Arabidopsis thaliana: one gene and its partner. Changing the gene in region 1 together with any one later gene gives a genetic interaction. Each region holds a gene or a part of one and is shown on either strand. Other genes may lie near its edges.

The links. Genes that interact genetically often act in the same process or in processes that back each other up.
Region 2: changes in AT1G27695 (region 1) and ABCI14 are lethal when combined (synthetic lethality), as found in Arabidopsis thaliana (one study listed by BioGRID).

The regions. Positions count from the first base shown.
Region 1 is NC_003070.9:9,636,332-9,642,048, reverse strand, and holds AT1G27695 (glycine-rich protein), read right to left. Parts: upstream 3,026-5,717; 5' UTR 2,927-3,025; intron 2,903-2,926; exon of another isoform or gene 2,842-2,902; 5' UTR 2,836-2,841; coding exon 2,796-2,835; intron 2,721-2,795; coding exon 2,676-2,720; intron 2,349-2,675; coding exon 2,316-2,348; intron 2,205-2,315; coding exon 2,047-2,204; 3' UTR 1,845-2,046; downstream 1-1,844. Other genes in the region: AT1G27700 (Syntaxin/t-SNARE family protein), read left to right, coding at 297-373, 570-684, 761-1,249, 1,344-1,530, 1,630-1,655; AT1G27690 (lipase, putative (DUF620)), read right to left, coding at 3,742-4,290, 4,374-4,724, 4,967-5,368.
Region 2 is NC_003070.9:6,843,839-6,850,115, reverse strand, and holds ABCI14 (trigalactosyldiacylglycerol 1), read right to left. Parts: upstream 3,779-6,277; 5' UTR 3,646-3,778; exon of another isoform or gene 3,574-3,645; 5' UTR 3,488-3,573; exon of another isoform or gene 3,386-3,487; 5' UTR 3,305-3,385; coding exon 3,258-3,304; intron 3,168-3,257; coding exon 2,162-3,167; 3' UTR 1,994-2,161; downstream 1-1,993. UniProt on the Arabidopsis thaliana protein: Required during embryogenesis. Permease involved in lipid transfer from the endoplasmic reticulum (ER) to plastids, and necessary for thylakoids formation.

The DNA.
Region 1 (5,717 bases):
AGTTCTTTTGGTAATTATGCTGTCATAAATAAAGCGTTAACCAAAATGAAGAGAATTAGAGATTATGGACCGGTTTATTGAGAACCACATTGAATAAACCAAACATTAATAGTACTAATTTTCGCACGTGTGTGTAACGAAAGGCCGTAATTTGGCTAATCGATGAACGAACGTTCCCTCTCTTCTCTGAAATCTTTCTCGATCCATCCATCTTCTCCATTTTCCTCCATTTCTGGGTTTCTTCTCATCTTCCAAGGATTAGGAAATTAGTTTGTTTTTTTTCATCTGCTCAAGTGATGACGACGAGTTTGGATCGGTGGGAGAAAGATCCTTTCTTTCCCGCTGCTGAAGAAGTTCAGGAATCTGCCGACAGGTTTGCGTTTTTCGGATCCTCATCTCCCAATTTTCGTTTTGAATCTGTGATACCATAAACTCTCATTGTTGGTGATGCAATGTCGACGATTCGATTCGTGTTGCTTCGGATTTGGGATTACGATTTCTGATTAATCAAATCAAGTCTTAGATCTGAAATCTCACAATGTGTGTTGTTATCTTCGATTCATGTGTAGGATGGAGTCAGCGTACAGGACATGGCTCAATGGGAAACGAGACTCTTCAAAAGTATGGGACTCTGAGCAGCTTCATAGAGATCTTCACGCAGCTCTTGGAACCACCAAATGGCAGGTTTCTTTCTTTCCTCAGAACTCAGATTCTTAATCTGTAATGTTGATTTATGAAACCTGTAATATTTTTGGTGTAGTTAGATGAATTCCAAAAAGCTGTCAAATCTAGCTATGACAATCGTTTGAGTGATGAAACTAGAGATAGGCATCGTGAGTTTACTTTCGTAATGGAAGCTCAAGTGTCGAAAATCGAGAAATCTCTCAAGGAAGCTGCGCAATCCGATGGGAAAGGAACACCGAGATGGGTTCGTTTGGATGAAGATGATCGTAATGAGCTTGCTCTCTTCTTGACTGGTCCATCTGAATCTGCTAAAGCAAATCCTAATGGACATAGAAGGACTGCAAGTGCTGCTGAATTCAGTGCTTGGAACATTGCGGTTTCTGATGATGGTTTAGTGAAGAAATCTTGTGATGAGCCAGTGGTTCGACCTCCGAGGAAAGTACCTAGCTTCTCTGGATTCTTGAATTATATGGATCCTGTGTCCAAGCATTGCAATAGAAAGTGGAAGGGTTTAGATCGTCAAGGAGACTCTGATGCTGCTTTATTACCTATCCAAGCTAACCAAGTAAGTTTGATCGATCGATCTCCAACCGCAAGATTTTTGCCTCCTGCTTTGAAAATCTTTGCTAAGAAATGCTTTTTATTTTTTTGTTTCTCAGCAAGATATGAATGGATGTTCAGAGAGGGGCAAGAGTTGTATGGAGTGTGAGGAGGACTGTTATGAAAAGCAGCTTCATGGTTGGTATGGAGCTCTACAGAGGCAACTCCAACGGTCTCAGTATCGAATGCGATATAGTAAATCGGTTCACGCTGCAATTTGGATTATTCTTTTAGTTTTTCTTATTGGTAAGATTTACTGAACTCTGAATCATTTATGTTTAGAACGCAAAGCTTACTGCATCACTTTTGAGTTTTGAGATAAATTGTTTTTTTTTCTGATTGCAGTGGTAGTTGCAGTGCATTCAATGTAGAAGAGAGGTTTGGAATAGCAAGGTTCGAGTTCATTCATCTTCTGTGTAACAGCGAAAGAGACGAATTTGGCAATCCACATTTTTACTGTACAGTAAATTCCAACTGTTTTTGGTTGTTTGTAATATAGAAATGCATTTTTTTGGTTCGATTATTTGAAACGGGTTTCATTGAGCAATCATTGTTTTCTTAGGCACCAATCCTATTAACCATTGTAGAATTATTTGGGACTAAACCCAAGATTGAAGTGGAACCTTCTAAAAATGACAATTCAGAATACAGAAATGCATTTCGTATTGGATTATTTGAAGTAACCGTTTCATTGAGAAATAAGAAAAGGTGTCAGAATTCTTTTACAATCAATCCGAGCAGAGTATTGAAGCACACGACTGCTTAAGTGGAGTTTTTGGACATGTTAGCCACCACCTCCTCCCGTTTATCGGCAGTCTCTAACTCGATGCCTTGAAATGTAAGTCTAGATGAACGATAGTGACTCCCAAACGCAGTCCCGAAACCCCACCCGAGGCCCAAACCCACCCCGCAACCGCCACCTTTGTCAAATACCAGACGCATAAGTTACGTAATTAGAATTTAGGAAAAACCTGCTCGGTGTGTATCTATGCGAGTGTGGGATATTTGAAGTAGAAGTTTGAAATGCTTACCAGCACCAACACCTAAGATGTTCATAGGCATTCCTGCATGAAAGCAACGGAAATCTCCAATTCAGTAGGTTTGCAAAATAGTATGAATCCATCAAAATGTAAGCGCAACTGATACTAGCTATGCGTTTAAGCAACCATTAGCTAGGAAAGAAGAAGCATTTGAGTAAAGATGATATGTAGGAGTTGATAATCTCTATAAGAGACATTAAGCAATATGATCACAAAACTAAACAAGCACAGCAGAGTGCATTGCACATCCCATAGCAACTAGCAAGAGAATTGTTCCAATAGAATTATCTTGTAATTCAGTCCAGATTTTGTTCAAGTAAAAGCAGAAAAAGAGAGAAGTTGAGAACGAACCTCCAAAACCCCATCCAACGCCAAATCCACAACCAACACCGAACCCTATGAATTCCAATAACTAAATTACGATTCCAATCAAAATTAAAAGGAGAAAACAATTGCGAATGGGGGCATTACCAAATCCAACACCGACTCCAGTGAAGTCAGAGAGCACCATAGTGATCTTCACAAGAAAAAAAAAGAAACCAATTTAGGAATCTATAAATTCAAATGAGCAGAAATTGCGAATCTGAATTACCCGATGATACCTTGTTTGTTGTTGGTAATCGGTGAATCTGGTAGATTGCTCTCTCTACCTCCCCCACTTAAAATCGCAAGCCCTGAAAGCAAGAGAAGAAAGGTGAAGACGATTTGTTTTAGAGACGTACCAAATTAATCGAACCGGTTTAACTAATGAACCGGGATTATTTTCAAAATGATTTTATGTAAAAGAATTTGGTCAACAGTGAACCGGCCTAATTCTTTTTCTCAAGGTCAACAACAGTCAACAGTAAAATAAAACGATCTAGTGAGCAAATGGATCAATCCATATGCAAAAATGCTCATGTCCCATTGAAATCCAACTCACAAATAGGATTTGGATGGTTGAGACAGACAAACAGATAAGTACTTATGGCCATTTTTTGGAGTAAACTAATGAGCAACGGTTTGAAATAGACAGTAGGAGGAGAAATAACATTTACTAGTTTGTGCTACAAAAGAAACTACACTCACACTATGAATTTATTGATATACAATACAAGGAAGATCGTATTCATCAGTTCCAATTGGTATGGATGACCAAGTAATATTTCTTTATACTATATGCTATTAGGTGAAATAGATGGGAGCTTCTATCATAGTATATGAAACAATATTATAAACTAAAAATTGGACTGACCTTACTAAGACTACACATTCCTAACATTATGCGGCAAAAAGAACGAACTTCTCCTGCTGTCTATTTACAACTTCAACGAAACTTCCTACAAGAATTTTAGCTTCGACAATAGCAAAAGTAAAATAACCGGTCTAGGGTTTGTTTTTGAATGAGTTATACACATTGATCTCCTGCTTCTTCACATCAACCATTTTTATGGCCGTGCAATGTCCTAATTTTGGGGCCTTGAGATAAGTCTTCAACGTGGGAATCAAATCTGAGTTCTGAAGGTGGAATGAAGCAATCTATAGACAAGCCAGGGACATTGAACGAGATTTCATCGATGACCCATGCTTCTTGCATTGTGGTCTTAGTGTTATGTCCTGATGACATATCTCCAAACCTTAAAAGCGTAGCCACGGATCTACCAGAGTGAGCTATCATGATACCTTCGACAGGTTTGTAGTCTTCTAGGTATGAGTTGATGGTCGTCTCCCAGTAAACCGCTTCGCCTCCATTGTTTTGGATTCGGGTTAGCTGGGAGTCTTCTAAGTGAACAAGCAGACCGGTTTTTTGGCTGAAGTAACCGAACAACGTATGTCTTATGGTCTCTGATGCCCCTTCGCTTCTAGCTTTGAGTGTTGCCGGGTCTGCACATAGCTTGAGAATGAAACAGTCTTCTCCATCGATCTTTTTTTCTCCTATGCACCTTGCATTTGCAAACATATACGCTGTGGTCCTCGGGTCAAGTCCCTGAAAGTTGACAACAGTAACAATTCAGTTATGCAAGCAAAGAAAAGTGTATGAGAAGGCTTCCTTGGGACAAGAGGCCTAACCTGCAGAGCACGTCGTAATGGTCTAACCGGTCCTTTTGCAGCATGAGGTCCAAGCCATGGTGTGTGTCTCCACACAAGCTTCCCGTCACAACCTGCAAGAACCTTGCTCCCACCAAGAACAAGCTCCATGTACCACATATCAGGATTCATATGCCACAACACAAATCCTCCAGACTCAACAGCTTTTGACGAATTATTCTTGCTCTTTGAACCTTTTGAGCCTGTCTCAAACTCTGAAGCCATCGTCCTGATTCTTCCCATAACATATCCATTTTGCACAGAACTATGAAGCTTTTGACCTCCTGATGCAGCCGTATACTGCTGAAGTATGTACTGAGCAGAGGAAGTCTCCTGAAAATTCAAGTATTAGTAAGAGTCATTAGACTTTACCCTCAACACATTAAAGCAGAGATAAAACTTGATAAATCTCAATTAATTGCGCAGTCTTTCTCCGTAATTAGTAGGCAACTAAAAGAAGATTCAGCTAAATTCAAGCTAGATTATGGCACAGAAGAGCTTAATTCAACATGATTAACTCCAAATCCCCAACACTGTCCTAATTTTGAGGAGACAACAGTGAATTAAGAGCTCACCATAGGTGTATTCTTGATACTGAGGTGTGGAAGGAGATCCAGAGCGCTAACGTGCACAGGACCTAAAGGTGCGCCAAGAACACCGAGGAGAAGCCTCAGATCCGTTCGTTTGAAATCCGAAGAGGACGATACTGACGGCGGAGCCACCGGAAGCTGACATTTCATCCAATTGTACCAACGTCTCTCGAACCTAGAGTAATCACCACTGCTTCCGGAGTCTTCAGCGTCTGGATCAGGACCTTCTATAACCGGAGCAAGCATCTCAGACATGTGCCGGTCCGGTTGTGTGACGTAACGGCCTTTCCGGCGACGGATGATGATCGGAGAGACGCTTCTGACTGGACTCTTGGATCGTGGTCGCCGGGAATTAGACTTGGAGAACAAGCCGTGCTTCTTATCCATAGTCGGAAGAAGAAGAAGGAAGTGTTGTTAGTAGTGTGAGAGAGAAGACGCAGGTTTGGTGATTAGAGAAAAAAGAGAGAAATGTTTGCGTCGAAGGGAAGGTTGCAAAATATAAATGTCGAATTTAATTCGTTAATTCGCTTTTTTAACCATTTCTTTTGGAATTTAATTATTCTTTTCTTATTTTGGCTATTATTTAGGGTTATACACATTTTTTTTCTCGACATCGTTGAAATTATGAATCACTGCTTCTCGAATAAAAACTTTTAAAAGTCTCATTATTACAGGCAAATGGGATTCGGGATAAGATTTAATTATGAAAATTGGTATAAGAATTTTTTTGTTATTT
Region 2 (6,277 bases), 2.8 Mb from region 1:
CCGTGGGGACGGAAATGTATTAGATGATAGTGGTAAGTCAACTCCACAGTTTGATTTGATAAATGAAAACCTTAGGGCTTCGTATGATACAAGGAAACATATTAGGGTTTCAGATGTGGAATTAGAGATAGGGAATAAGAATAAAAAAGGTAAGAAATTTAAGGATCTTGGTGGGTTAAAGGAGATATTGCATGACCTAACGAATTGAGTAAAGAATCCTCTGCTTTTTCCTGAAATGCATGAACGTCTTCAAGAGAAGCCAATTTCTGGGATTTTACTTCATGGTCCACCTGGTTGTGGCAAGTCTACATTGGCTCGTGCATGCCATTGCTAATGAAACTGGTGTTCCTTTTCATATGATCTCTGCTTCTGAGGTTGTTTCTGGTGTTTCGGGTGAATCTGAAGAGAATATAAGAAAACTCTTCTCTAAAGCGTATAGAACTGCTCCTTCGATTATCTTTATCGATGAGATTGAGGCGATTGCGTCAAAGAGGGATAATCATCAGCAAAAGGGTATGGAGACTCGTATTGTTACACAGTTGATGAATTGTATGGACCAAGAGTATATGCTTCAAAAGATGAGAGAGTCTGGTTCTGAAACTAGCGGCCATGTTATCGTTATTTCAGCTACCAATAGACCTGAAGCTCTTGATCCAGCTTTGTGAAGGTCACTACGATTCGACAAGGATTTTTGTCTCGGAATGCCAGATGAGAAGGCAAGAGAAGAGATTCTTACTTTGATACTACGGAACCGTCCTCTTGACCCAAGTTTTGATATTGCAAGGATTGTTCGTAAGACTTCAGGATTTGTTGGAGCGGATCTAGCACTTTTGGTTAAGGAAGCTGCAAATGTGGCAATGGAGAGATTAGTGAAATCAAGAGGATCAGAACTTGGAACTGATATTGATTCTTTGTTGAGTATGCAGCCATGTCCATTTCCACCACAAGTGATAGAGAAACTTTTCTACACTATCTCGGATTTTGAGGAAGCATTGAAAAAGTTTAAACCTTCGTTAACAAGAGAAGGATTCTCTACTACTCCTAGTGTAACATGGGAAGATATTGGCGGTCTTGATCATATAAGAAAGGAGTTTTATAGCGATATAATCAAACCGTTGAAATATCCAGAAGAGTGCGAGGGATTCAAGTTCTGTTCAGGGAGGGATTTTTTGCTATATGGACCACCTGGTTGTGGTAAAACATTAGTTGCCAAAGCCGTGGCTAACAAAGCAGAAACCAACTTTATCCGTGTCGAGGGACCGGAGCTTTGAGCAAATACGTTGGAGATAGCGAGAAAGCGATTAGGGAGCTATTTAACCTTGCAAGGATGTGTTCACCGTGCATAATCTTCTTCGACGAGGTTGATGCATTGACAACAAAACGTGGGTCAGGAGAAGGTGCTTGGGTTGTTGAAAGACCATTGACTCAGTTGCTCAATGAAATGAGCGGTGGAAAAGAACGAGATGGAGTGTTTGTGATTGGTGCAACGAATAGACCGGAGATGATGGATCCTGCGATTACAAGACCAGGGAGGTTTGGGAAACATATCTATATACCTCTTCCAAACTCTGTTCAACGAGGTTTGATTCTGAAATCTCTTGCGAGGAAGATTCCTTTAGACACAAGTGTTGATTTGGATGCTATAGCTAGGCGTTGTGAGAATTTTAGTGGAGCTGATCTTGAAGCTTTGGTTATAGAAGCTGGTTTGGCGGCTCGAGACGATGAGACAGGCTCGTACCCTCGTAGGACAAAGATGGTTCATTTTGAGGAAGCGTCGAGTCGTATGCAAAGCGGCAGGTGAAGAGAAAAGTCAAGAGATTGGCCAAGTTTTTCCAGTTTTCAACATTTTTTCAAAACTTCATGCTTATTTTTTTTGGATTATTGGTCAAGTAAGCTAGTTTGGTTTTACCATGTTATATCTGCTTGGTCAAATAAGATGTTATGTCATAAGTTCATAGCATAACATTTTAACTCCGCCCATACTGATTGCAAATTTTCCGATGAACTATATAGTTCAAGATTATTCAATGTGTATCATTATTGGAATAGAAATATAGCAATCTTTCTGTTCTTTCTAAAATGATGTTACTTTCTCAATTTAAGACAACTGATTTACATAAACCCATCTAAACCACAACAAAAGAAGACAGAAAATAATATGTCAAACACAGTTCTTCAAAGAATCTCCAGCACCTTGAAAGAAGAAGGAAGAAAGCACAAAGTCCGCGATGAAGATTCCGACAAGAGACATGACGACAGCAGAAGTTGTAGATTCTCCAACACCTTTAGCACCTCCAGTAGTGGTTACTCCCCAAGAACAACTAATTACCGATATTATAGCTCCAAAGACTTGAGATTTAATCATGGCACTCACAATGTCCCATGGTCTAAGTGCTCGGTGAGCCGAGTCCATGATTATGTTAATGCTGATCCCGTAAACTGCATCAGAGAGCAGAGCGCTTGAAGCCATACCAACAGTGAAACACATGAGTGTCAGAAACGGTAGAGCCAAACACGAGGCGATGACTCTTGGAGTGATTAGATAATCAATTGGGTCAGCTCCTAAAACACGGAGTGTATCAGTTTGCTCTGAGACTTGCATTGTCCCTAGTTCAGCTGCAAATGCACTTCCCATTCGTCCAGCAACAACAATCGATGTGATGACTGGACTTAGCTCTCTAGAGAAGGCTAAAGCCAAGACACCTCCAATGGATCTGTTTAGACCTAGTCTAGTGAATTCTCTAACGAACTGGATTGTGAAAGCCATACCAACAAATGTAGAAGTCAGAAGACAAACTCCTAGAGATTTCGGTCCGGTTCTCTCCAGCTGTTGAAGAGTGTTTCTCCAGTGAATCTTACCCTTTAAAATCCGGAGAACGACTTGTCCTGCTATAATAGGAACTGATAAACCTCTCCATATGTACTTAGAAGGTGACCATTTGCTGAACGGAAGCTCGGCTTCTTGACTGGGTGCGTTGTTTTCAGTAGAGGTTTCTTCTTCCAACATAGACATGGATGGGTGACCATCATTAGCATTCAAATTCACATATAATCTTCTTTGCCGTATCGGACTTGAAATCCCATAAGATTGAGTCTTTCCAATGAAACCAACTTGACAAAGCTTTGGGGGCTTAATACCAATCGAAGCATCAAACCGTGGAAAGACTCTGCAAAATTAATATTCAAGAATCCAAAATAACATATTCTGACAATGAAGCAAATGAGAAAGCTTATAAACTTATGGCAACACAAAATACCTATGAGGGAAACAAAACGATTGATGGATACAACAAGTCTGCATCATTGTGGTTGCCTTCTTCTTTACGACCTCACTGATTTAGTGCCTCTCAATTTGTAGCAATAAGCACGATTTCAACAGCTGAATCTGTAATAAACCCAGAATCAAATTGATTTACAATCAAATAGAATTAGGACACAACAGATTTTGCATAAGAGATCCAAATCGAGACAAAAAGTTTCCGGTGACCTGATCAATTAATCAATCTCTGACTCTGAGGCAGCCAAATTCGAATCCCAGTATAAGATATGTACGGACCAATCTAGGTGAAATCTCTACTATATAGAAGGGGAACAAATAATTAGGTCTATCAATCTTCTTACTGAAACAAAAACTTGAAAACTTACATTTAGAAACGAAACTAAGCTCGGAAGATCGAAGAAGCTTGCTTGAGAGGGTTCATCGAGAGAGAAAGTGGCACAGTGCCAACAACAACAACACACACAACTAACAGTTGCGAAGAAGATGTGTGGGTTTAACTCCCAACAAAACAAACAAAAAAAAAACCAATGGCAAAACATAAATTGGTCCGTGGGCCGTAAAGCCCAATATACTTTTACAAGTAAAGCGTGGGCTCTATGCCATTCACGGCAGGTCCACTTGTACTTTACACATAGACTGATACAGAAAAGTATAAATAAGAAAATAACAATGAGTGTTTTTCTCTATTGATCCAAAATGACAAAATATATGATCTAAACATTTTATGTTATTCTGTATATGTAAAGTGTTAATTATTTAATTGGTTGTATAAATCTACAAAGCTATTATATGAAATGTTTATACCAAGACAATCAATCAAATAAAGGCCTACATTTCATGTCCAGATTTGTACTAATATCCCCTTCATTGCTTACTAATATATAGTAAATTTAACTAAATGCTAACTTAACTATAATATAACCAATATCGAAAGGAGAAAGATGTGAAAAGAGGAATGGTGGTGGTCACGTGACAGTGATACTTGGTAACCTTTACGGAGACAACAACGTTATCTTTTTCTTCAGCCGGTCCGTTCTTTAAAAGCACACTCTCTGTATAATATATGCCTCTCTACGTTTTATATACTCACGTTTACCCTACTCTACACTACAAACCAAAAGCACTACTTCTCTCCTACACAAAACGTGATTCTACCAAATTGAATGCAAGAGTTTAGTAGAGGGTCTCGATTCTTAAAAAAAACAAACTGTCCTAGATGATATTTTGGAAATATAAGTTTAAGGAAACGCTGAAATTGGTTGCTTTAATTCGACTACTATATCTTTCGCATCTTAGAATTATATTAGAAGATATTCAATATTTGTATCTTTTACATTTTATATTTTTATGAGTATTCTATTTTAATTAGAGGTATTAATTTGTTAAGGTTTTAGAGTTTTATGTTACAAATTTACAATATTCAAGTGTTACGTTTTTAGCAAAACTTGTCTTCATTTCCGGTAGATTGATTAAAAAAGCACAACGAATCCCCAAAAAAATGGTAATTCAGGTATTTTAAATTAATCGAGTTCCTTGAACCGCTATGAACACTCAATTCAGTACCTTCCAAAGGAAATGTGTCTCAAGATCTCATGTTCAAGCTTCGCTGGTAGACAATGTACTATTTAGTTCATATCCTCCGACTCGAGAAAACTTTGACCCTTGGTTATTGTAAAAAGTGTTCTATACGTATACTTATATTCGTAATTTCGTAGATAGAGAGAAAGCATAATGTGATGCATGTGCATGGGATGGGCAGATGGGGCCCGCGGGCTTTACAAGGCCCATAAAGCTAAAAGAAGAGGAGAGGACCACGTGGCAGGGAGCTAGCTAGTACTACAAGTGGAGTGGATACTAAGAAGTAAGAAAGTAGGAATGAGTTGAATCTCGTGATCGCACTGTTTCTACTATTGGCAATGCAGTGTTGCTTTCGTCTAGGGTTTCAGAGCTATAGCCCCCTCTTCCTTAATTATTTCTTTTTTTCACTTTACTTTTCTCACCAATCCATGTCCAACTACACTTAAAATTGCATTACCGCAACATCTTATATGTGTCTATATTCGAAATATCTTCTGTGTATAGAATTGTATAAGCTAGCTACGGAATTACATTTTCGAACGACATATATTTGGATGTTCTAGTTTTTGTCATTTTTTTATTAGTGGTCTATCAAGCCGATGATTCTTGAAGTCTCCATTCCCGGTACATTATTGAATGTGAAGTTTAACCTCTCTTAAGATTGATCTCTCGCATAGGATCGAATCCCAAACATTAGCATGCATGCTTTCAAGTTTAACTAACGGTGTTTGAATAAAACAAAAACTATATCTTAACATTCCCTTAGATAACTTTCACATATTTTATGAGGGAGGATCGTTCTCAATCATACGCTAATGGTTAACAGTTTTGGTTACATGAGTGTTCACTAATGAGAGTTGTATTATATGTGTTGGTAATGTTATTTTTGTCTCTGTTGGTGATTGTTTCTTATCCCTTTTGTAACGATTTTAACAAAATTGATCATTAATTAAGACCGAAAAGGAAGGTGTTTAACATATTTTCTCATATTATATATTTTATTATTTGATAACACAACTATTAAAGGGTAGTTGAGATATTGCGTGTATTTACATAGTGTATACGAATAAAGTTTCTATATCTTAACTTTACCACGAAGCTTTGAGTCACTTCATTCCTTTATATATTCAACAAGACAAAAAGCCATTCTAGGCGGAAAGAGCGTAATTATCACTTTTCTTTAAGCTAACAAACTGATGGTTAGGAATGAGGAACCTTAGCGTCAATCTTATGTTAATTTTAACAAATCTACATCCAATTATTGTCGTTTAACATCATACGGGAGCCAATATGGCTCCACCGGAACTGAAATCATTCTCAAAATTTTTTATATATATATTTTTTTAGTTCGGAAAATTTTTTGGTTGAATCAGACAACTAATTTCTAGAGTCTATATATATCGCCGGTAAAGAAAATTT